3 linked regions of the Struthio camelus genome follow. The protein of the gene in region 2 binds, or shares a complex with, the protein of the main gene of each other region. Links are inferred from orthologs where the notes say so. Each region holds a gene or a part of one and is shown on either strand. Other genes may lie near its edges.

Region 1 (7,578 bases), on a different chromosome or scaffold from region 2:
TTTGTGTAATTACTCCTGACTTAACCATCCAGTTTTTCAAACTGAAACCTGAAATTCATAAAAATACTAATAAATGTCACTGCAAACTATTATTTTGGATTGTCTTGGAACTAGAGGATGAAATCTATGTCTTACTGTTCTGGATTTCTTTTAAGTAAAAGGTTTTTTTACATGAAAGGAAATAAAGAACGTTTAGCTCAGTGTGAATCAACACGCATCTGACAAGTTTGTGTACTCAGGTACACTTTTAAAATATCAGTGTTACAGTAGTCTAGCCTGTATTCTAAAAACATACATTAAATTCTTATAAATACATATTCCCTGTTATGAATGCCCACCAGGACATTTTGCTATCAATTTCCTCCTGATATTTTTATATATAACATATTAATGAAAATATCACTATATCAGATGAAGAAATATAGACTCTGATGGATAACGGGAAGCAAATAAAGTGGTACTGAGCAGTATTTCCATGTCTGTCTCCAGATGATATTGGATACTTCGGATGTCTGAAGTGTGTCTGACACTTTTAAAAAAACAATTTAGTGCAACTGCAAGGTCCAAGAATGTTGAAAAAAGCTATAGAGCTTTAAAAAAAAAAAAAAAAAACCCTGAATACATACAAGGCCAGGGCCTGCATGAAGTTCCAGATGATAGATTTGAGTTCCGGATTAAGCAATAGTTTGCAATAATCAAATAAACTCTTGTTCTTGTTTACATTTGGAAAATCTAGATTTTTTTTTTTTTAAATTCAGAACATATAATAACTATACTCTCAAGTTTTACCTCAGGAAGAATTTTCTTAAGAAATCACCCCTATACAATTGCTTTTAAAAATTGCTTTGGAATATATGTAACAGTGGCATAAACAAGAAAAAAAAGCCTTAAGAAACATTTCAGAACAGGAAGAATATTTTAAACACACTACACAAACAAAACCACTACCTTAGGCCCATACTAAAATGAGTGTTATTCTAGAATATTAAGCATTACAGCTGTATATTTTTCTGCTGAGCCAAAGCCTTCCATTCAAAGGGCAAAGTACATTTCAGAACTTGTTTTTCTTTCAAAACTATTAATTTAAATAGTACTAGCAAGCTATTAAAAAAAAAAAAGAAAAAGGTAAAGACACCTCTTACGAGTGAGAGGGATTCTAGAAATCAGAACAAAGCCCCTGCAAATCACTAGTTGCTAATAAAGCACCGGTAAAAGCATGTATCGCTAAAGCCTGTGTAGTCTGGCGCTAGGCCTCAAAAACAAGGAGACAGCCTGAGTGCCAGAAAGTGAGCCACCTGCAGCATGGCACCCATGGAAGCCTTTCCCCTTCCTGCCAAATAGTGCTCAAGCAGGAAGTCACCCCCAGCAGCACCGGCCTCATCCTTGACAAGGAGCGCGGTAACCCCGCTCCCCACAGCGCCCGCGGGCCCAAATCCCACTGGCCCTCCACAAAAGGAAGCCCAGGAAAAGTGAAACAGAAGCACTTTGGGGCCAGCTGAAAAAACACGAGAGACCACTGAAAGGCAGGGTAACAAGTTTGCCCCTGCGCCTCTCTGCAGAGAGCTCCTGGGTGGTTCTCCCCTCCTCCTGGAAAGCATCTAGACGCAATCATCGCACAGCAAGTTACACAAAGCCTGGAAAATTTGATCTGAACCATTCGTATCCCTGTGTAAACAATACTACTGCGTACAACGGACATTGCAACAACGCGCTAAACTTTCAGTTTAAAAAACCTGAATGTCACGTAAAACGCAGAAAAAGCAACAGGTTTACTGTATGGAGCAGCATCAATAAAACCTGAGAGATAAGCCTGAGCAAAGTCTATACAAAAAAAAAAAGCTATCTGTGCTCTCTGTTAGAAAAAAACTAATTCTATCCTCAAATGAAACTAATCATTCAAAGTTACACTGAGAACTACAGCAAGCTTATTTAGCTCATGGAATCATTCTACAGATCCAAAAAAAAAAAAAAAAAAAAGGTATCATCTCATTCACTTAAAACGTGGGAAACTTTATAAGCTACAACTGAAGATCAACCAAGAAGTCACACACTTACATGGTCTCTCCGGTCTTAGCAACATGACAAAGAAACTGATCCAGTATTGGACACACTTCCTTCTTTCCTCTCTTCTCAAAATCTGTTGGTACGAGGAAGAACACGAAAGCAATAGGAAAAGAAGAGAGGACAGGACAAAAATTCGTAACAATTAGGCATCGATTTGCTTCAACTATCCGCACAGCTCCCCCCTTCCCCCCACCCCCCCAAAAAAAGACATTTCCACACTTCCTCAGTTTGTTCCCAAGAGCTCCCCCAGCCCTCCAACCCTGCAAAACACTTGATACTTCTCGTGTGAAGAAAACTACACACATCCCAGGGGCAAAAAGTTGATTTGTAACTTCTTTTGAGCAGCTACCGGGGGGGGGGAGGGTGGAGAGAGAGAGAAAGAGAGAGCGAGAGAGGCCGATTTCCTCAGGCTGCGTCCAGCCAGACGAGCTGCCACAGGACCGGGCCGGGGGGGGAGTCCGTGCGCCTGGCCGAGGGAAGCGGCAGCGCAGGCCGGCCCCGACCCCGGCCCCGGCCCGGGGGCAGCGGCGAGGACGGCCCGGGGCCGGAGCGGAGGGACCGGCGGCCGCCACCCCCCCCCAACCCCCCCGGTGGCTGTCGGGGCGCTGGGGCCAGGCCTCGGCTTCCCCCTCCCCCACCGCCCCCACAGAGACCCCCCCCCGCGCCCGCCTCAGCGTGAGGGGACACAGCTCCCCCCCCCCCCCCGCCACCGCCGCTTTCCCCCGCCCGGCGCCACCTTTCAGAGCCTCCTGCAGCCGCTCGACGTCCATGATCCGCCCGGGCGTCCCCCCGCGCCCCCCCCCTCCCCAGCCCGCGCAGCACACGGGCTCCGGCCGCCGCGCACACACAGACACACACACAGACAGACAGACAGACGCGGGGCTCAGCAACCCTCCAACATGGCGCCCGGGCCGTCCCCGTGCGCGGCCCCGACGGCCCTCCCCCTCTCCCGCCGGGGGGGCGGGGCGGGGCGGCGGTGGCGCGCGGGGGGCGGGGCCGCCGCCGCGCGCGGGGCGGGGCGGGGCGGAGTGGAGGGGCGGCGGTTGCGGCCGCCTCAGGCGGGGCGGGGGTGGCCCTGCCGCGCTGCTGTCCTGCTCGAGGCGGCTCCCGCCCTCCCGCCTCTGCCCACGCACAGCCGCGACACGAGAGGCGCCTCCTAACCAGGCGGCTCCTCCCCGCCCCCAGTACTGACCGCGTAGGACGCTCCCTTCTTCTCACCACACCTAAAAACGTGGTGGAGAAGTCGGGGCAGTCGGTCCCTTCTGGAGAAGGTCTCTAAAAACACAGTGGTGAAGGCCAGGCACTCAGTCCCTTCTGGAGAAGGTCCCTAAAAACGTGGTGAAGCCCAGGCACTCGGTCCCTTCTGGAAAAGGTCCCTAAAAAAGTGGTGGTGAAGGCCAGGCAGTCACTCCCTTCTGGAAAAGGTCCCTAAAAACGCGGTGGTGAAGGCCAGGCAGTCGCTCCCTTCTGGAGATGGTCCCTAAAAACGCGGTGGTGAAGGCCAGGCAGTCGCTCCCTTCTGGAGATGGTCCCTAAAAACACGGTGGTGAAGCCCGAGCAGTCAGTCCCTTCTGGAAAAGGTCCCTAAAAACGTGGTGGTGAAGGCCAGGCAGTCGCTCCCTTCTGGAGATGGTCCCTAAAAACACGGTGGTGAAGGCCGGACACTCAGTCCCTTCTGGAAAAGGTCCCTAAAAACGTGGTGGTGAAGGCCAGGCACTCAGTCCCTTCTGGAAAAGGTCCCTAAAAACGTGGTGGTGAAGGCCAGGCACTCAGTCCCTTCTGGAAAAGGTCCCTAAAAACGTGGTGGTGAAGGCCAGGCACTCGGTCCCTTCTGGAAAAGGTCCCTAAAAATGTGGTGGTGAAGGCCAGACAGTCGGTCCCTTGTGGAGAAGGTCCCTAAAAACACGGTGGTGAAGGCCGAGCAGTCAGTCCCTTCTGGAGAAGGTCCCTAAAAACGTGGTGAAGCCCAGGCACTTGGTCCCTTCTGGAAAAGGTCCCTAAAAACGTGGTGGTGAAGGCCAGGCAGTCGCTCCTTCTGGAAAAGGCTCCGAATGAGCAAGGAGGGGATCGGGGCAGAGTCCAGGCTGAAGCGGCGGTGGCCGGGGTCCGGGCGAGGGGGAGACGCCTGTCGGCTGGTTTTAGCCAGCCATTGGCATATGGACTCGCCTGCTGTGGACACTTCTGCAAAAAAAAATGGAAATGCTTGTTAAAAAAAAAAAAGAGAGAGAGAGAGATGTTGTGAAAAAGGTAGCCAAATATCGATGCCAACTGTTACTCTAGGCATGTGTGAGCCGGCGCATCTGCTGTAATTTACTATTAGGTACAATCCTGATATAGACCTGGAGGGTGGCCCAGGCGCCTCTGGAGGCCTCATGCGCATGCTGACGGCCCTCCTGCCCCGCGCACGGCGAAGCAGGTCCCGTCCCCACCACTCTTGGCCTGCCCTGTGAGTCCCGGATCTATCGTACCGTTTCAGAGCAGTCCCTAAAAAGATAATAATGCCTGTGGCTGAACTGACTTTTCTGCTCTCCCAGGTCGATAACGTACCAGAGAACCTCTGATACAGCTCCGTTTCTTACAACTGCTGCTAACATCATAGCTGAATGATCAGGTTTGAGGACCACCATAAATGGCTAAAAGACAACCTTGGTACCTATGGCAAGCACATCCTTGCTGAAAGATATTTTCTCTGGTTCCTTGTGTTGATTGTATCATGTAGGAATATCCAGGCTGTGGAATTAACAGTCTGTGTTGGCATTTTCATCATATAGGAACCCTAACTTTCATCTGGCTTCTGGAATCAAGACCTGTATGGTCTAGACCTTCTAGATGACCCTCAGGGTCTCTGACCTTAGAACTATACAATACTAACAGGAATATCTAAGGTTTCATATTTACAGATGAGCAGTACAAATCCCTTGTTCTATACTGTTCTGTGAAAAACCTTCCTTAACAACAAATCTTTGTAAAAGCTGCAATAGGGCACAGAAATGCTGAGTAGAGAGGGCAGTGAATGAACCTCTGTGGTCCCCTCTCCCTTCATCTGATCAAAAGGTGAAGGGAAAAAGGGAAGCAGCAGTCGACCAAGCCAACCACATGGGACGGGCCCTGCTGTTTAAGGTACCTGTCAGGGCCAAACATGCACCATGCCTTGCTCTCATCTCCTAATAAAAGAGGAAGAGTGGCACTTAAGACTGTTGAGACAATTTGTTATAGGATGCCATTTTAAGAGATTAAACTGTTGCAGATCAGGTCCAATACAAAATAAGGGAGGTAGAAACTGAGCTCAAGGTGACTGAAGCTTGTGCTATGCTATGACAGGGAGTTTAGGGAAAGTGTCTCTCATAAACTTCAAAAATAGTTTAGAGCAGATAGAGGTACTTCAGATTTAATACTTTGGGGCTCTCTCTGACTAAGTATGAATAGCTGAAAGTTGTTGAAAGTCTAGCTCCAAGTGCTGCTACTTCTAAATGCTTTACAAAGGCATCGTCTATTTTGTGCCATGGATCAATTCTCAGCTTTTTATAAAGGAAAATCACATTCCCTACTGGACATGAAAAATCCCAACAATACTTAGGACTTGGCACTTTTACCTTCTTGTACATTTCTCTTGCGTTAGGGATTCCCTTGCCTCGGGCCAGCATCACTAGCCCTATTAAGCACACAAAGAACCACAGAGACAAAGACAGGACTTGCCCCAACCCGTGGGGGAAAAAAAAATCAGCGCATGAGGTGGAATTAATAAAACCTTAATGAATTTAGCTACCATTTTCTTCTGATCACTTTGTTCATCATAAAAACATGCTGAAAGAATGAGTAACAGCAGAGCTAAGGCATATATTCTTAAGAGAAATGAATACTGAATTGTTTTCTCTGAAGTTAGCCAAGGGCACTGTTAACAATTTGTATTAGTAGCTCTCCTGCCCTTGCAGCTCTGCTACCATGACTTTCCCCATCTCATGCCCTCTGTAGTATGTTTACCCTTCTAGGATTAGAAATCTCTACAAACCGAAACTAAATTAGTTTGCTTGGACAATAATCTACTCTCTACGGTATTAATGTCCTCCCCCAAAACATCAGTGGGTACTCATGGCAAGCAAGTGAAAAAATCTCTTCAACAAGAAAGGAACTGCATTGAGAAAAGACTTGACAGAGGACAGGGGAAGGTTTCAAAGCAAACAGTGGATATGGAAATGAAAACAGAAGTGCTGAGGCCTGTAAGCAGATGCACTGGCAATAGAAAAGGAACATACAATTCAGATTACAGGTTAGCCTATGTTCTTTTCCTTGGGATCCACTTTATTATTACAAAAGAGGTATAAAAGTCCAGTTAAAGTAACAAAAAACTAGCTTACCTTTTTAACCTTCAGCAAAACAGAACAGTGGAGAACATAGGGCACAGGTTCTCTTAAATCATGTCTATATCCTAGCAGACTACATTTACCCCCAGATACCATATCGGCTCTCATCCACAGCACAGCTTGTTCTTTATAATAATTCTCAAAGGTGGTCACATGCCCTCAATTTTCAGCTCTTCCTGAGGAACTGCATTTCCCAGCATGACTGCTGTTAAAGAATCCCAACAGCCAAAACAAGCCTAGAAGAGGCATAAACATACATTTTAAAGTCTAGTACAGTTAGACAACCCACTTAAAAACCCCTATGAGAGCAAATTCAATCTTCCTAAACAACATCCCATTCCATTTGGAGGTATCACCAAGAACACAATAAAGACCATAATTACCGTCAATTTGAAAAGCTGTGCTGCTAGCCTGTTCTGCTAAAACAGAAAAAAAATTAAAAGCGTTCCCAAGACACCTAGAATTAATATTGAAAACTGGGACAACATAGCATTTCTTCAGTTAAAAAGCTAGTTGCAGGGAATAAAAAGGAATATGTTTTTTTCTAAATTCCTCTACTACATTCTGTACAGAAATATAGAACTAATTCAACAGCTTGTAATAGAACATAACACACTCATATAACCTTTTAATTAAGTACTTTAGAGCCACTTCTTTGCACTCAGAAAGTAGCAAGTGAGGTTTGAGTCTACAGCTGTATCATGTGGTAGGTACGCTTGGAGCCCTATTACCTTTTGTACCTTTGTTATTTGCAAGTTATAAATCTAATTGGCACTGCTCTGTAACACGGATGCTGCTCTGAGGATAGGTAATGCCATTAGGAGCCACAGATGCTCAGATCTTGTTTCTAGAAACAAGGTGTAAGTTAATATCATAATTTCTGCAGGATTTAGCTGGTAGAGGAAGACCACCTCTCATTTCCTTCCAATCCTTTTATTTCCTAGTTTGAGAAAAGTGGACTTACATCTTTTGAAGTGTAGCACTTATCACATTTGTAGTATATTAAATAAATTACTACAGTGATACACTGGGAATGGCATTGCAGGAAGATCTTTATTTCAAAATGCGGTAGAATTCACAAGTAAACAAACCATATACTAACATTGACTTTTCATTGTTAGCAGCTTGTCTGATTCCTTCCATTTGGTCAGAA
Region 2 (7,472 bases):
CAGGCAGATTGGGAGGACTTTGAGGACTGGAATAATGGGATGAAATTTACTCATACAAAGTGCAGGACCATTCAGTGAAGGCTAATACTGAGAATTTAGACTCTAAGACAGGAGTTAATTAGTTTTAGACGACTGTGGAAGAGAACGACCTCTTGTATCAATTGATCACAAGGTAACTGTGAGCTGCCAATGCAGTATATTTGGTAAGCTATCTCTTGAAGATATTCATTCTCCATAAAAGGCATTACTTCCCTGAAGCTGCTGTCTACAATACTATATAAAATTCTGGTCACCTTAATTCAAGACAGGTGAAGTCAAACTGCAGCAGGTGGGAAGAGGCCAATCAGGATGACCAGGAGAACTGAGAGCCTGTTTTATGAGAGAAGACTAAATGTTGAGCTTAGCTTGTTTAGCCCAGGATTAGAGGAGATATGATTGTGATCTTTAAATAGCAGGAAAGGAAGAATGCTTTAAAGTAAAGTACAATGCTGGTACATGAAGAAAGTAGGTAAACTGGCCAACAGTAATTTTAGGTAGAAAATCTGAAGTTTCTATAGCAACCAATGAGTAAAGAATACTGGAAGGCAAAAACTGGTTAGTTTTAATATCAGGTTTGTCTTGTTTATGACAGACTGCTCACTGTTGTCATAGCAAGGAACTGGAGTCATTGGCTACCTTTGTATTAGGAATAGAAACCGTGTGCTGGTCTTTGGCTCTGAGGCAAGCTGGCTTGACCGTGTTCACAGCAGTAAACTCCCTTAACCTCCCACACAGGGCACTCGTATCCTTGCTGCCTGCCGAGAATGGTCTGGGCTGGTGCTAACTCCTGACCTGAACGAAGGGACTGTTTGGGGGAATTCGTGCTGGCCTTGGGGACCGTTCTGGCAATGTAAGCAGTACGGAAGGCTGAGCTCCAGCCCCTGGGCCTAGGCCCAATATTGTTTAATTTATGTAATTGGTTCCAGAGATTTCTTCAGCTCCCTGCTCCTTTTTAAGGGTTGAAAAAATTCCCCGTAAAATATTGTCTAGACCTCTGTACTTACATACTGACGTCACTGAGATTTTTGCCATTGTCGATCTGCTTTCTAAAATGTAAATAAATACTGTTTTATGTGGATACTTCAAAAGTTAGTAAATCTGGGCAAAAGATGTGTATTTTTAAAAAATAGAAAAAAAATCACTTAAACTTCATAAAGCAATGTGCTATTAGATCCTACTCCGGATCAGATATTCACAAATAGCTAGAAGGTATGAGGAAAATAGCAATACATATTTACTCTGTTGTTATTTTGTCTTCCTGCATGTGTTATTAACTGCTTTTGGAGACAGGACAGCAGATTAGACATGGCAGGAGAGCTAGCTTTTCTTAGAAAGAATAGAGAATGCAGTCACCGTAATCTTATACATGTCATATTGCCTAAAAAAGGATATCTTTTGTGTACATATAAAATAACCTTAAAACCTTTTTGTTTCTTAGATCTTAATGGAGAGTATTAAGTTATAGGAAAGCATTGGGAGAACGGTTCACAGGTGATGAAAGCACAATGAGTACAATCCTGTGTTTTTCCATATACCCTTTTTAATTATATAGCTGTTACAATCAGTTGACAGAAGTGGCAAAAGAGCAATCAGAAATTTTTTGCAAATGACACTAGGACAATGCAGCAACAGTTTCTTAGCAACAAACTGGAAAATATGCTAAATAATGTTTTTATCTGACTGAGATTTGTATATACTACGTTTCAAGAATTGTTCCAAAGTAGACAGATTTTTCTGTGTGGTTCTTTTAGACTAATGTACTTACAGGTTTGCCTCCACTTGGAGTTTTGTTTGTTTTTGTTTGTTTGTTTGTTTTTTGAAGAGTAGCTTTTCGTGGACACATTCTTCCTTGGGGTAAGAATAAAATAAGAAATCTTGTTTTGGAATATCTTAATCCGAAAAATGTTTTTAACATTTATTAAATAAGCAGTAACAAAGCATTCACCTGTGAATCTAGACTTTTATATTCAAACAAGCTCTTGTCCATTTCGTTTTCTTGATGCTGTACTTCCACATCAGGAACTTTATCTAGATTGTGAACTGAAAAACATATCTGAGTCATGTTTCCAGTGAAGTGAAAGTACTGTGGTCATTAATAGAAGGAGGAGATAGTGGTTTAAATATGAAGCCAGGAATTGAGGGGAGAAATGTAAGCTTAAGGCATTAGATGGAATATCAAAGCTGCATTTTTGAAGGGTTTGGTGGACTGCAGTAAAGAGCCATCTTGGTGGTGAACAGACTGAAATGAAATTTCTGCACACTCAATTTAGGTGCTGAGTCCTGGCAGAACTGTGATTATGCAGTGCATGAATTACATAGTGTACAGCTGGAGAAGGCATGTCCTTCTGTATCTTCCACACTAGGTCTTTCATATCGCAACTGATTTAGGCATTGCAACACATTCTGAGACTTGCTAAATTTTCAACTTCTCTGTGAATAATCTGATTTATAGGTTAATTCTCTGGGAACGTATAACAGGTAAAGTAAGAATCACAAGCTTTTCAGAGCAATTTTGAAAATGGAGACACCTAACTGCTGGGTAACAAAGCTCTAACTGCAAAGGTTAAAAAAAAGAAGGTGAAGAGTGGAAATGAGTCTTCATTGTAGAGTCACTGCCAAGTATGTCAAAAGATTTTTTTTTAACTTGGGATTAATTTAAAAGCATTCATCAGGGGAGGTACCTGCTTTGGACTTTTCATTAAAATCAGAAAGGCTTATAAAACAGAAGATTTCTTGTGAGTAATTCCGTTTTGCAAGAGTCCTGGTAGTGGACTAGGACACAGTGAAGGTGTCCTAGCACACCTGACCCAGAAGGGAGGGGACACTACTCAAGGCAAGGGTGTTGCAGCAGGGGAAGTGGAGCAATGTGGAGGCTGTGGCAGTGGAAGGGCAGCTCCACAGGGGCCGTGGCAGTGGAAGGGGATCCCTGTGGCAGCCGTGGCAGTGGAAGGAGATCCCTGTGAAGGCCGTGGCGGTGCAAGGGCAGCTCCACAGGGGCCGTGGCAGTGGAAGGGGATCCCTGTGGCAGCCGTGGCAGTGGAAGGGCAGCTCCACAGGGGCCGTGGCAGTGGATCCCTGCGGCAGCCATGGCAGTGGAAGGGCAGCTCCACAGGGGCCGTGGCAGTGGAAGGGGATCCCTGCGGCAGCCGTGGCAGTGGAAGGGCAGCTCCACAGGGGCCGTGGCAGTGGATCCCTGCAGCAGCCGTGGCAGTGGAAGGGCAGCTCCACAGGGGCCGTGGCAGTGGATCCCTGCAGCAGCCGTGGCAGTGGAAGGGCAGCTCCACAGGGGCCGTGGCAGTGGAAGGGGATCCCTGCGGCAGCCGTGGCAGGGGAAGGGCAGCTCCACAGGGGCCGTGGCAGTGGAAGGGGATCCCTGTGGAGGCCGTGGCAGTGGAAGGGCAGCTCCACAGGGGCCGTGGCAGTGGATCCCTGCAGCAGCCATGGCAGTGGAAGGGCAGCTCCACAGGGGCCGTGGCAGTGGAAGGGGATCCCTGTGGAGGCCGTGGCAGGGGAAGGGCAGCTCCACAGGGGCCGTGGCAGTGGAAGGGGATCCCTGTGGAGGCCGTGGCAGTGGAAGGGCAGCTCCACAGGGGCCGTGGCAGTGGATCCCTGCAGCAGCCATGGCAGTGGAAGGGCAGCTCCACAGGGGCCGTGGCAGTGGAAGGGCAGCTCCACAGGGGCTGTGGCAGTGGAAGGGGAGACCCCTCCACTGTGTGTGGCGGTGGAAGGGGAAGCAGTGGAGCGGGGCCGGCTGCGCCGGGCGAGGCCCCGGCAGTAGGACGCATCCCCCGGCGGGTGGCGGGGGTGGGGGGGTTGGGCTGTGCCGGGAGCCCGGACGGGGGTCGTACACGCGGGAGCGGATCCCCGCACAGAAGGGCCTGCGGGCAGAGGTGACGGCGCAGAGCGCCCTGGCGCGTGTCCGACCCCACGCCCGTGTGCGTCCCCGCGCGGCGCGGCACAGCAGGCAGAAGGGCGGCGGGAGGCGACGGCGGCGCGAGACGGTTAACGGCCGGGGGGGGGAGGGGGGAAGGGGGGCGTGCCCCGGCCCTCGCGAGGAGCGGCCGCGCCCGCGCCCCCAGCGCGTTCGGCTATTACCGCGCTCGGGAAGCTCTTTTGCCCCGCCGAGGCCGCTGTAGCGCCGCGTTGCCCCGGCGACCGGCTCGGCGGTGGCAGGGCGGCCCCAGTGGCGGCGGCTGGGAGGCGGCTCCGCGGGGCTGGCGTCGCGCGGGGGGCGCTGAGGCGCCGGAGCCGGGGGCCGTCCCGGCGCGGACGCCGCGGCAGTCGCTCCCTGCCGTCGTCGGCGGCGGCGGGGTGGGGGGGACAGCTGCGCTGAAGGAGTGGGCCGGGGCCGGGGCCGGGGGAGGGGAGCGACACTGCACCACGGCGGCCGTCCCTCCCCCCGGGGCGGGGAGGGCAGGGGCGGCCCCCCGGGAGGCTGCTGGGCCGGGGCGCTGCGCGGCCGGCCGGGGCTGCTCCTTCAGCCGGTGCCTTCAGTGAGGAGAGCGGGGCGAGCCTGTCGCCCGCAGCCTGCGCTGGAGGAAGGGACTCGGCTGTCTGCTGCCCCCCGCCTTGCCTTCCCCGCGGGCCCTGAAGCGGCCTGGCCCCTCGCCCCCCTCGGCGAACACGGGCAGTCCGCGACGAGAGGAAAGTTGGCTCCAAACTCTCCCTCCGCTTCCTCGCCCCGGGATAACAGCGAGCCGCTGCCTGCCCGCCCCCGGGGGGAGCGGAGCGGAGCGGCCGGAGAAAGTTTGGCGGCGGGGGGCTGTGGCGGAGGCGGGCGGCAGCGGTGCCGCAGTGTGTGCGCTGAGGCGGCGGGGCTCGGCGGCTGCCGGCGGCGGGAGGCAGGCGCTGCTCGCAGACTTGGAGGGGGTGTTGCGTGGTGTCAGTCGTTTCTCCTCCAGTGCGATGTGAGACTCGGAGAGAGCATCGGTTGCCAAAGGCTCTGGTTGTTACATGCATCCAATAATCTTCTTCTCCAAAATGGATTTTACTCAGAGCAATTTATTTGGATACATAGAAGACCTGCAGGAGCTAACTATTATAGAAAGGCCAGTACGCAGGAGCCTGAAGGTATCTACTTCAAAATTGAATGATGCTTTAAAATCCATTTGAAATTTTTGCTGCTTGTATTTATGCACTGCCAGCTGACCAGGCAGTTTATTTTTACAGCACCAGAACATTAAAGCTTGTTTTCAGTTATGCTGGAATATACAATCTTGACTTCAGTATAGCCAGGAGTTAATATTTTCAGTGTAAGGGTGTTAAGCTGGAAAAAATGGACTAACATAAGCCTTTAATTTATATGTGACGTGTTTATGCTGTGTTTTAAATGATTAATAATGAGAGTATCTGACATGAAACTGTACTTTTATTATATCCCATCTCTTCCTGGTGAAAGATTTATTTGACTGAATTTGAAATAATTGGCTAGAGATTTCAGGGGTTAAATTCAAATTACTCATGTAACTATCCTTGAACATGGGGAGGAAGGGTTTGTTTTAAGAAGACTAAAACAAAGAAATAGTATGGCATTGTAAATTCATAATCTCTATTTCACACTTGACAGACACCAGAAGAAATAGAAAGATTGACAGTTGATGAAGAACTCAATGATATTGAAAGGGCTGTTTATCTACTCAGGTATTTCCTAAAGTATTATTGTGAAACACTGCTGACCATCATGTTGACATACAGTTTTTTGTGCTCTTTCTCCTTAGTCCTTTTATTTTCTATCTTTACATAGTAGTTGTTTTATACTTTTGGCTACATTAGGTATATAGGCAAGATTAAAATAGACACTGTCATTTTGTTAAACTTGGATGGAATAGGATGCCTGTGTGGACGTACGGATATTTCTTTGCCGAGTTTCTAATATGGCCCTCAGCAATAATGAGTTGTACTTCGTCTTCTTTTTCTCTGCAATTGGTTTTGCAAGATTCCCTGAGTCAAGTTGACATTAATAAGAGCAATCATTCGGTGACTTCATAGTCACTCTAGGGCATGGGCAGTTACCACGGACTGATAGCAGAGCTGTCTGAACATATTGTATACGTTTGCGCTATCAGAAGAGAAGACTTAAAGATTAGTTTCATAGTCTTTAGGAAATACTGCAGAATACATTATTTTAATATTAATCAATGTTCTGTTTTTTCATTTTATCTTCCTCTTTAAAGTACTTGAATAGCTTAAATTTTGATGGATTCAAACACAAATCTCTTTCAACTCTGCTGCAAAAGTAATCTCTGAGAGTAGGAATGTTCTGAGGCATTTTGATTTGAATATGCGTTTTAAACAATACTTAGTAATTGGAGAACCAGCTGCAGCTCCTTCGCAGTTTGCTTATTCTGCTATTTTAAGTGCTCTTACAGCCTATGCCTGTCCTCAATTTAAAAATATATTTTTTCAATGCCTTAATTTTCTCTTTTTGGGTATGTGGTGTTACTTTTAGGTAAACATTTTTGTCCACTAGTAGTATTTTGATACTGAATTTTTTGTGTTTTTTCATGCTAATTTTTTTTCTTCATTAAGTAATGGAGTTTAAAACTTCCGCTACTGCGGATAGATACTACAGATAGTAATCAAAGTAGTCTTTTGGCTCTAGGGTAATCTAGAGAAACCAATGTCGTTGCATATCATTTTAGGTTTTTTTATCTCACAGCGATCAGCATGGTCATCTTTTTTTTTTTCTCCTTCATGTGAAGCAGCAGATCTCTTGCTCCTTTCCTGATTAAAGATAGTGTTTCCAACAATAGGTCGTTACTGCATCATTGCGTGGTTAAAGGGTAAAAGGTTTGACTTCATATTTTTTATCTTACTAATTACTTTTCAACTTGGCCTTGAACTCTTCTTGACATCCTCGTCTACTTTCTCTCTACCTGAACAGCTGTTCTGGGGGACATAATATTCACTTCCTTGTGATGAAGTTTTTATTTTGCTTCTTTGTAGTCCTCATTGCTGAAAGGTAGCTTCATCTCTGCTTGAAAAGCTTTTTGCAAGGCAATTATTTGCTGTGATTATCCAGGTATGTTTATACATTAATCCAGTGGAAGCTTTTGCTGTTCAGTAGTGCATTGCCTTGCTTGCACTGAGTGGAGTGTAAGCAAACAGAGCTGAAAAGCTGTCTGTAACACAAGTAGTATCCTTTATACAATGCGTAAAAGCATATATCATTGTCTTTTCCAGTATTTTTATGAATTAGAATACAACACACCTACTTTTTCCTGTTTGATGGTAATGTCATGGTCTTTTCATGCCTCGTTTTCTCCCACAGGAGAAAGGCATTACTTGCCTTCTTTCAACTTGTCCCTTATGTGGAACTCTCCTTGACGTTATCCCATATGACACTACCTTTTCTGAATATCCCACTATAAAATTTGCTTTAGTGAAATTGAAATGAATCGTCAATGATGGCTGTGTTCTGTTCAATTTCGAGA
Region 3 (7,523 bases), on a different chromosome or scaffold from region 2:
CCGGGGTACCTGGCCTTGGCGCAGAGGGCCTTCACCTCGCTCTCCTTGATGAGCTCGCAGCGCCGCAGCTGCTCGATCTGCCGGTCCAGGTCGCTCGGCTCCCCCATGGCCCTGCCCCCCTAATTAACTGTTAATTAGCCCCCCCTAATTACCCCCATGACTTAATTTTGCCCCCTTTTCCCCAACGGCAGCTAGGCTCGTCCCCCCCCCATCGGTGCTGGCTCGTCAATCCCAGGTGACGTGAAATGGCCACTTGGGGGGGGGACGGTAATTGCCCCCCCCATCAGGGCTAATTAACCCCCCCCACAACCCCTAATTGCCCCCCCCGGACACCACAGCCCCCCTCCTCGTTGCCCCCCACCCCTAATTGCCCCCCGACTCCCTACCTGCTCAATAGCCCCCCCAATGCCCTAACTGCCCCCCAGCACCCCCAATTGCCCCCCAAATGCCCCTAACAGCCCCCCCTCAAGCCCCTAACTGCCCCCGACACCCCCAAGTGCCCCCAACAGCCCCTAATTACCCCCCCCGAGCCCCTAATCGCTCCCCGGACCCCTCAGTTGCCCTCCACCCCCCCAAAAGCCCCCCCCAGCCCCCCCTGAACTGCCCCTCCGTTGCCTTCAATTGCCCCCAGACCCCCCCAACTCCGCTTGCACCCCCCAAATGCCCCCCCAGGCCCCAACGGCCCCCCCAACCCCCCGACGACCCCCAAATGCCCCCCCAAGGCCCCAACGGCCCCCCCAACCCCCCGACGACCCCCAAATGCCCCCCCCAAGGCCCCAACGGCCCCCCCGACCCCCCGACGACCCCCAAAGTGACCCAAAAATCCCCAAGTGCCCCTAAAGACCCCCAAAGTGACCCCCCCCCACCGCTCCCAAAAAAAACCCCCAGCCTGACCCCAAATCGCGCCAGCGCTCTGCAAAACATCCCAACGGGCCCCCATTGCCCCCCCAACTCCCCCCAACTGTCCCCTAAATCCCCTCAATTGCCCCCCAAATCCAAAACGTCCCCCCCAAACCTGCCCACCCCCCTCGCCAACGGAGCCAAAACCCTCCCAACTGCCCCCGAAATCCCTCCGGCTCCCCCAAACTCCCCCAACAGCCCCTGAATCCCTTCAAGTCTCCCCAAACCCCTCAAACCGCCCCCCGAAACCCCTCAAACTGCCCCAAACTGCCCCCAAACCGCAAGTGGCCCCCAAAATCCCTCAAACTGCCCCCAAATATCCCCCCAGCTGTCCCCAAACTGCCCCCAAACTGTCACCTACGCCAACAGCCTCCAAACCCCCCCAAACTGTCCCAAAACCCCCAAACTGCCCCAAAACCTCAACCGCCTCCAAAGACCCCCAAAACCGCCCCCAAACACCCCCCAAACTGCTCCCACCCCCTCAAACTGTCACCAAAGCCCCCAAACTGCCCCCACAACACCCCAACTACCCCCAAACTGCCCCCAAACCCTCCAAACTACCCCCAAAGACCCTCCAACACCCCCAAAACCACCCCCAACCCCCCCAAACCGTCCCAACACCCCATCTACCCCCAAACTGCCCCCCAAACTGCCCCCAAAGACCCTCCAAAATGTCCCAAACTCCCCCAAACTGCCCCAAAACCCCAACTGCCCCCAAAGACCCCCAAAACCACCCCCAAACACCCCCCAAACTGTCCCCAAACCCCCCAAACTGCCCCCACAACACCCCAACTACCCCAAACCTGCCCCCAAACCCCTCAAACTGTCCCCAAAACCCAAACTGCCCCCAAACTGTCCCAAAAGACCCCCAAACCCCCAACCTGTCCCCAAACACCCCCAAACTGCTCCTAACCCCCTCAAACTGCCCCCACAACACCCCAACTACCCCCAAACTGCCCCCAAAGACCCCCAAAACCTCCAAACTGTCCCCAAACCGCTCCCAACCCCCTCAAACTACCCCCACAACACCCCAACTACCCCCAACTGCCCCCCAAAACCCCCAACCTGCCCCCAAACACCCCCAACCCCCTCAAACTGTCCCCAAAACCCCTCAAACTGCCCCAATACCCCAACTACCCCCAAAGACCCCCAAAACCCCCCAACCTGCCCCCAAACAACCCCCCAAACCGCCCCAACACCCCAACTACCCCCGAACTGCCCCAAAACACCCAACCTGTCCCCAAACACCCCGAAACCACCCCCAACCCCCTCAAACTGCCCCCACAACACCCCAACTACCCCCAGCTGCCCCCCAAACTGCCCCCAAACCCCCAACTGCACCCAAACACCCCCAAAACCCCCCAACTGCCCCCAAACACCCCCAAAACCCCCCAACCTGCCCCCAAACACCCCCAAACCGCCCCCAACCCCCTCCACCTGTACCCAAAACCCCCCAAACCGCCCCCGCAACACCCCAACTACCCCCAAACTGCCCCCAAACACCCCCGAAACCCCCCAACCTGCCCCCAAACAACCCCCCTAACCGCCCCAACACCCCAACTACCCCCGAACTGCCCCAAAACACCCAACCTGTCCCCAAACACCCCGAAACCGCCCCCAACCCCCTCAAACTGCCCCAACACCCCAACTACCCCCAACTACCCCCCAAACTGCCCCCAAACCCCCAACTGCCCCCAAACACCCCCGAAACCCCCCAACCTGCCCCCAAACACCCCCAAACCGCCCCCAACCCCCTCCACCTGTACCCAAAACCCCCCAAACCGCCCCCGCAACACCCCAACTACCCCCCAACTGCCCCCAAACACCCCCAAAACCCCCAAACTGCCCCCAAACACCCCCAAAACACCCCCAAAACCCCCCAACCTGCCCCCAACCCCCCCCAAACCGCCCCCGCAACACCCCAACTACCCCCCCAACCCCCCCACACCGCCCCTAGAACCCCCCAGCCGCCCCCAAAAACCAACCGGCCCCCAACCGGCCCCCCCCGAACCCCCCCGGCGACCCCCGAACCCGCCGCGGGTCGCACCCGGCCGCCGCCGCCGCCGCGCGTCACTTCCGGCCCCGGCCCCGCCCACCGGCGGGACGGAAGTGACGTGCGGGAGGGCCGCCCCGCAGGGCGTGACGTCACGGGGCGCGAGCCAGTGGGCGGGGAGAGCTCGCCGGGGGCTCCCCGGACGCCTGGGCCCTTCCCCAGGGCGCCTGGGCCCTCCAGGACACCTGGGCCCCTCCCCGGACGCCTGGGCCCCTCCCCGGACGCCTGGGCCCCTCCCCGGACGCCTGGGTCCTTCCCCGGACTCCTGGGTCCCTCCCGGACTCCTGGGTCCTTCCCGGACACCTGGGTCCTTCCCCGGACTCCTGGGCCCCTCCCGGACTCCTGGGCCCCTCCCCGGACGCCTGGGCCCCTCCCCGGACGCCTGGGTCCCTCCCAGATGCCTGGGCCCCTCCCGGACACCTGGGTCCCTCCCAGATGCCTGGGCCCCTCCCGGACACCTGGGTCCTTCCCTGGACTCCTGGGCCCCTCCCTGGATGCCTGGGCCCCTCCCTGGATGCCTGGGCCCCTCCCGGACGCCTGGGCCCCTCCTGGACACCTGGGCCCCTCCCAGACACCTGGGTCCCTCCCAGATGCCTGGGTCCTTCCCTGGACTCCTGGGCCCCTCCCGGATGCCTGGGCCCCTCCCGAACTCCTGGGTCCCTCCCCAGATGCCTGGGTCCCTCCCCGGACACCTGGGTCCCCCCGGACGCCTGGGCCCCTCCCGGACACCTGGGCCCCTCCCCGGACTCCTGGGTCCTTGTCAGGACACCTGGGTCCTTCCCGGACGCCTGGGCCCCTCCCCGGATGCCTGGGCCCTCCCCAGACACCTCGGTCCCTCCCCGGACGCCTGGGCCCCTTCCTGGACACCTAGGCCCTCCCGAACACCTGGGCCCTCCTGGACTCCTGGGCCCCTTCCTGCCCGGACACCTGGGCCCCTCCCGGACGCCTGGGCCCCTCCCAGACACCTGGACCCCTCCCCGGATGCCTGGGCCCTCCCAGCCGCCTGGGTCCCTCCCGGATGCCAGGGCCCCTCCCAGACACCTAGGTCCCTCCCCAGACACCTCGGCCCTTCCCTGGGCCCTTCCCCAGACGCCTGGGCCCCTCCCCGGACACCTGGGTCCCTCCCCGGACACCTGGGCCCATTACAGACGCTTGGTTCCCTCTGGGACGCCTGGGCCCCTCTCCGGACATCTCTGCCCTTCCCCGGACTCCTGGGCCCCCTCCCCAGACGCCTGGGTCCTTCCAGGACACCTGGGCCCTTCCCGGATGCCTGGGCCCCTCTCAGACGCCTGGGTCCCTCCCCGGATGCCTGGGCCCCTCCCCGGACCCCTGGGCCCCTCCCCGGACAGCTGGGTCCCTCCCCGGACACCTGGGCCCATTACAGACACTTGGTTCCCTCCGGGACGCCAGGGCCCCTCCCCGGATGCCTGGGTCCCTCCCCGGATGCCTGGGCCCCTCCCTGGACTCCTGGGCCCCCTCCCTGGACACCTGGGTCCCTCCAGGACGCCTGGGCCCCTTCCTGGACACCTGGGTCCCTCCAGGACGCCTGGGCCGCTCCCCGGACACCTGGGCCCATTACAGACGCTTGGTTCCCTCCCGGACACCTGGGCCCCTCCCGGACACCTGGGCCCCTCCCCGGACACCTGGGCCCCTTCCCCGGACACCTGGGCCCATTACAGACGCTTGCTTCCCTCCGGGACACCTGGGCCCCTTCCCGGATGCCCTGGTCCTTCCCAGACTCCTGGGCCTCCTCCCCGGACGCCTGGGCCCTCCCGGACACCTGGGCCCTCCCCGGATGCCCTGGTCCTTCCCGGACGCTTGGGCCCCCGTCCCCGGACGCCTGGGCCCCCTCCCCCGGACACCTGGGCCCTTCCCGGACGCCTGGGCCCCTCTCAGACGCCTGGGCCCCTCCCCGGACACCTGGGCCCCTCCCCGGACACCTGGGTCCCCCCGGACACCTGGGCCCATTACAGACACTTGGTTCCCTCCGGGACGCCAGGGCCCCTCCCTGGACACCTGGGTCCCTCCCCGGATGCCTGGGCCCCTCCCTGGACTCCTGGGTCCCTCCAGGACGCCTGGGTCCCTCCAGGACGCCTGGGCCCCTTCCTGGACACCTGGGTCCCTCCAGGACGCCTGGGCCCCTCCCAGACGCCTGGGCCCCTCCCCCGGACACCTGGGTCCCTCCCAGATGCCTGGGCCCATTACAGACGCTTGGTTCCCTCCGGGACGCCTGGGCCCCTCTCCGGACATCTCTGCCCTTCCCTGGACTCCTGGGCCCCCTCCCCAGACGCCTGGGTCCTTCCAGGACACCTGGGCCCTTCCCGGATGCCTGGGCCCCTCTCAGACGCCTGGGTCCCTCCCCGGACAGCTGGGTCCCTCCCCGGACAGCTGGGCCCATTACAGACACTTGGTTCCCTCCCGGACGCCAGGGCCCCTCCCTGGACACCTGGGTCCCTCCCCGGATGCCTGGGCCCCTCCCTGGACTCCTGGGCCCCCTCCCTGGACACCTGGGTCCCTCCAGGACGCCTGGGCCCCTTCCTGGACACCTGGGTCCCTCCAGGACGCCTGGGCCGCTCCCCGGACACCTGGGCCCATTACAGACGCTTGGTTCCCTCCGGGACACCTGGGCCCCTCCCGGACACCTGGGCCCCTCCCCGGACACCTGGGCCCCTCCCCGGACACCTGGGTCCCCTCCCCCGGCCGCCCGGGCCCCCCAAGACGCGGGTGCGGAGGCAGATGCCGTTTATTGCCGGAGCGGGAGAGGCGGCGGCGGCGGGGGGGGGGCGGGGCGGCCCCGGACGCCGGGGCCCCTCAGTAGGCGTGGTTGGAGATGAAGAGGGACTCGCTGGCGGCGGCCCCCGCCGGCCCGCTGGGCGCGTACTTGCCCTGGCACGCCAGCGAGTTGGCCTGCGGGCGCAGGGAGCCGCGCGTCACGCCGCGGACGCCCGCGCTCCCCCCGTCCCCCCGTCCCACCAGGACCCCCGTCCCCATGTCACCACGTCCCACCAGGACCTCCATCTCCACGTTCTCATGTCCCACCACAACCCCCATCACCACGTCACCACGTCCCACCAGGACCTCCATCTCCACGTCCTCACGTCCCACCACAACCCCCATCACCACGTCACCACGTCCCACCAGGACCTCCATCTCCACGTTCTCATGTCCCACCACAACCCCCATCACCACATCACCACGTCCCACCAGGACCTCCATCTCCACGTCCTCGTGTCCCACCACGACCCCCGTCCCCATGTCCCCATGTCCCACCAGGACCCACATCCCCATGTCCCACCACGACCCACGTCCCCATGTTCTCATGTCCCACCAGGACCTTCATCTCCACGTCCTCATGTCCCACCACGACCCCCGTCACCACGTCCCCATGTCCCCATGTCCCACCACGACCCACGTCCCCATGTCCTTATGTCCCACCAGGACCTTCATCTCCATGCCCCCACGTCCCACCACAACCCCCGTCCCCACGTCCCACCAGGACCTCCATCTCCACGTCCTCGTGTCCCACCACGACCCCCGTCCCCACGTCCCACCAGGACCTCCATCTCCACGTCCTCATGTCCCACCACGACCCCCGTCCCCCCGTCCCACCAGGACCTCCGTCTCCACGTCCTCATGTCCCACCATGACCCCCGTCACCACGTCCCACCAGGACCTCCATCTCCACGTCCCCACGTCCCACCAGGACCTCCATCTCCATGTCCTCATGTCCCACCACGACCCCCGTCACCACCTCCCACCAGGACCTCCATCTCCATGTTCTCATGTCCCACCACAACCCCCATCACCACGTCACCACGTCCCACCAGGACCTCCATCTCCACGTCCCCACGTCCCACCAGGACCTTCATCTCCACGTCCTCATGTCCCACCACGACCCCCGTCACCACGTCCCCACATCCCACCAGGACCTCCATCTCCACGTCCCCACCTCCCACCAGGACCTCCATCTCCACGTCCTCATGTCCCACCACGACCCCCGTCCCCACCTCCCACCAGGACCTCCATCTCCACGTCCTCATGTCCCACCATGACCCCCGTCCCCACCTCCCACCAGGACCTCCATCTCCACGTCCTCATGTCCCACCACGACCCCCGTCCCCACGTCCCACCAGGACCTCCGTCTCCACGTCCTCATGTCCCACCATGACCCCCGTCACCACGTCACCACGTCCCACCAGGACCTCCATCTCCATGTCCCCACGTCCCACCACGACCCCCATCCCCACGTCCCCACGTCCCACCAGGACCTCCATCTCCATGTCCCCACGTCCCACCAGCACCCCCGTCCCCACGTCCCACCAGCACCCCCGTCCCCACGTCCCACCACAATCCACATCCCCATGTCCTCACGTCCCACCACGACGCACATCCCCATGTCACCATGTCCCACCAGCACCCACGTCCTCACGTTCCACCAGCACCCCCGTCCCCATGTCCTCATGCCCCACCACGACCCCTGTCCCAATGTCCCCACGTCCCACCAGCACCCCCGTCCCCACCTCCCACCAGGACCTCCGTCCCCACGTCCCACCACGACCCCCGTCCCCAC

Evidence for each region.
Region 1: PPP4R4 (region 2) and PPP4R2 share a complex: the UniProt entries of both Homo sapiens proteins name them as parts of the PP4 complex. The link is inferred for Struthio camelus from reciprocal best matches to the Homo sapiens genes PPP4R4 and PPP4R2.
Region 3: PPP4R4 (region 2) and PPP4C share a complex: the UniProt entries of both Homo sapiens proteins name them as parts of the PP4 complex. The link is inferred for Struthio camelus from reciprocal best matches to the Homo sapiens genes PPP4R4 and PPP4C.

The regions. Positions count from the first base shown.
Region 1 is NC_090955.1:5,358,773-5,366,350, forward strand, and holds the start of PPP4R2 (serine/threonine-protein phosphatase 4 regulatory subunit 2), read right to left. Parts: upstream 3,001-7,578; 5' UTR 2,835-3,000; coding exon 2,801-2,834; intron 2,138-2,800; coding exon 2,056-2,137; intron 1-2,055. UniProt on the Homo sapiens protein: Regulatory subunit of serine/threonine-protein phosphatase 4 (PP4). May regulate the activity of PPP4C at centrosomal microtubule organizing centers.
Region 2 is NC_090946.1:66,790,417-66,797,888, forward strand, and holds the start of PPP4R4 (serine/threonine-protein phosphatase 4 regulatory subunit 4), read left to right. Parts: upstream 1-4,472; 5' UTR 4,473-4,992; coding exon 4,993-5,109; intron 5,110-5,605; coding exon 5,606-5,679; intron 5,680-6,984; exon of another isoform or gene 6,985-7,060; intron 7,061-7,472. UniProt on the Homo sapiens protein: Putative regulatory subunit of serine/threonine-protein phosphatase 4.
Region 3 is NC_090973.1:990,536-998,058, reverse strand, and holds the start of PPP4C (serine/threonine-protein phosphatase 4 catalytic subunit), read right to left. Parts: upstream 3,001-7,523; 5' UTR 2,948-3,000; intron 120-2,947; exon of another isoform or gene 112-119; 5' UTR 108-111; coding exon 10-107; intron 1-9. Other genes in the region: ALDOA (fructose-bisphosphate aldolase A), read right to left, coding at 5,765-5,860. UniProt on the Homo sapiens protein: Protein phosphatase that is involved in many processes such as microtubule organization at centrosomes, maturation of spliceosomal snRNPs, apoptosis, DNA repair, tumor necrosis factor (TNF)-alpha signaling, activation of c-Jun N-terminal kinase MAPK8, regulation of histone acetylation, DNA damage checkpoint signaling, NF-kappa-B activation and cell migration.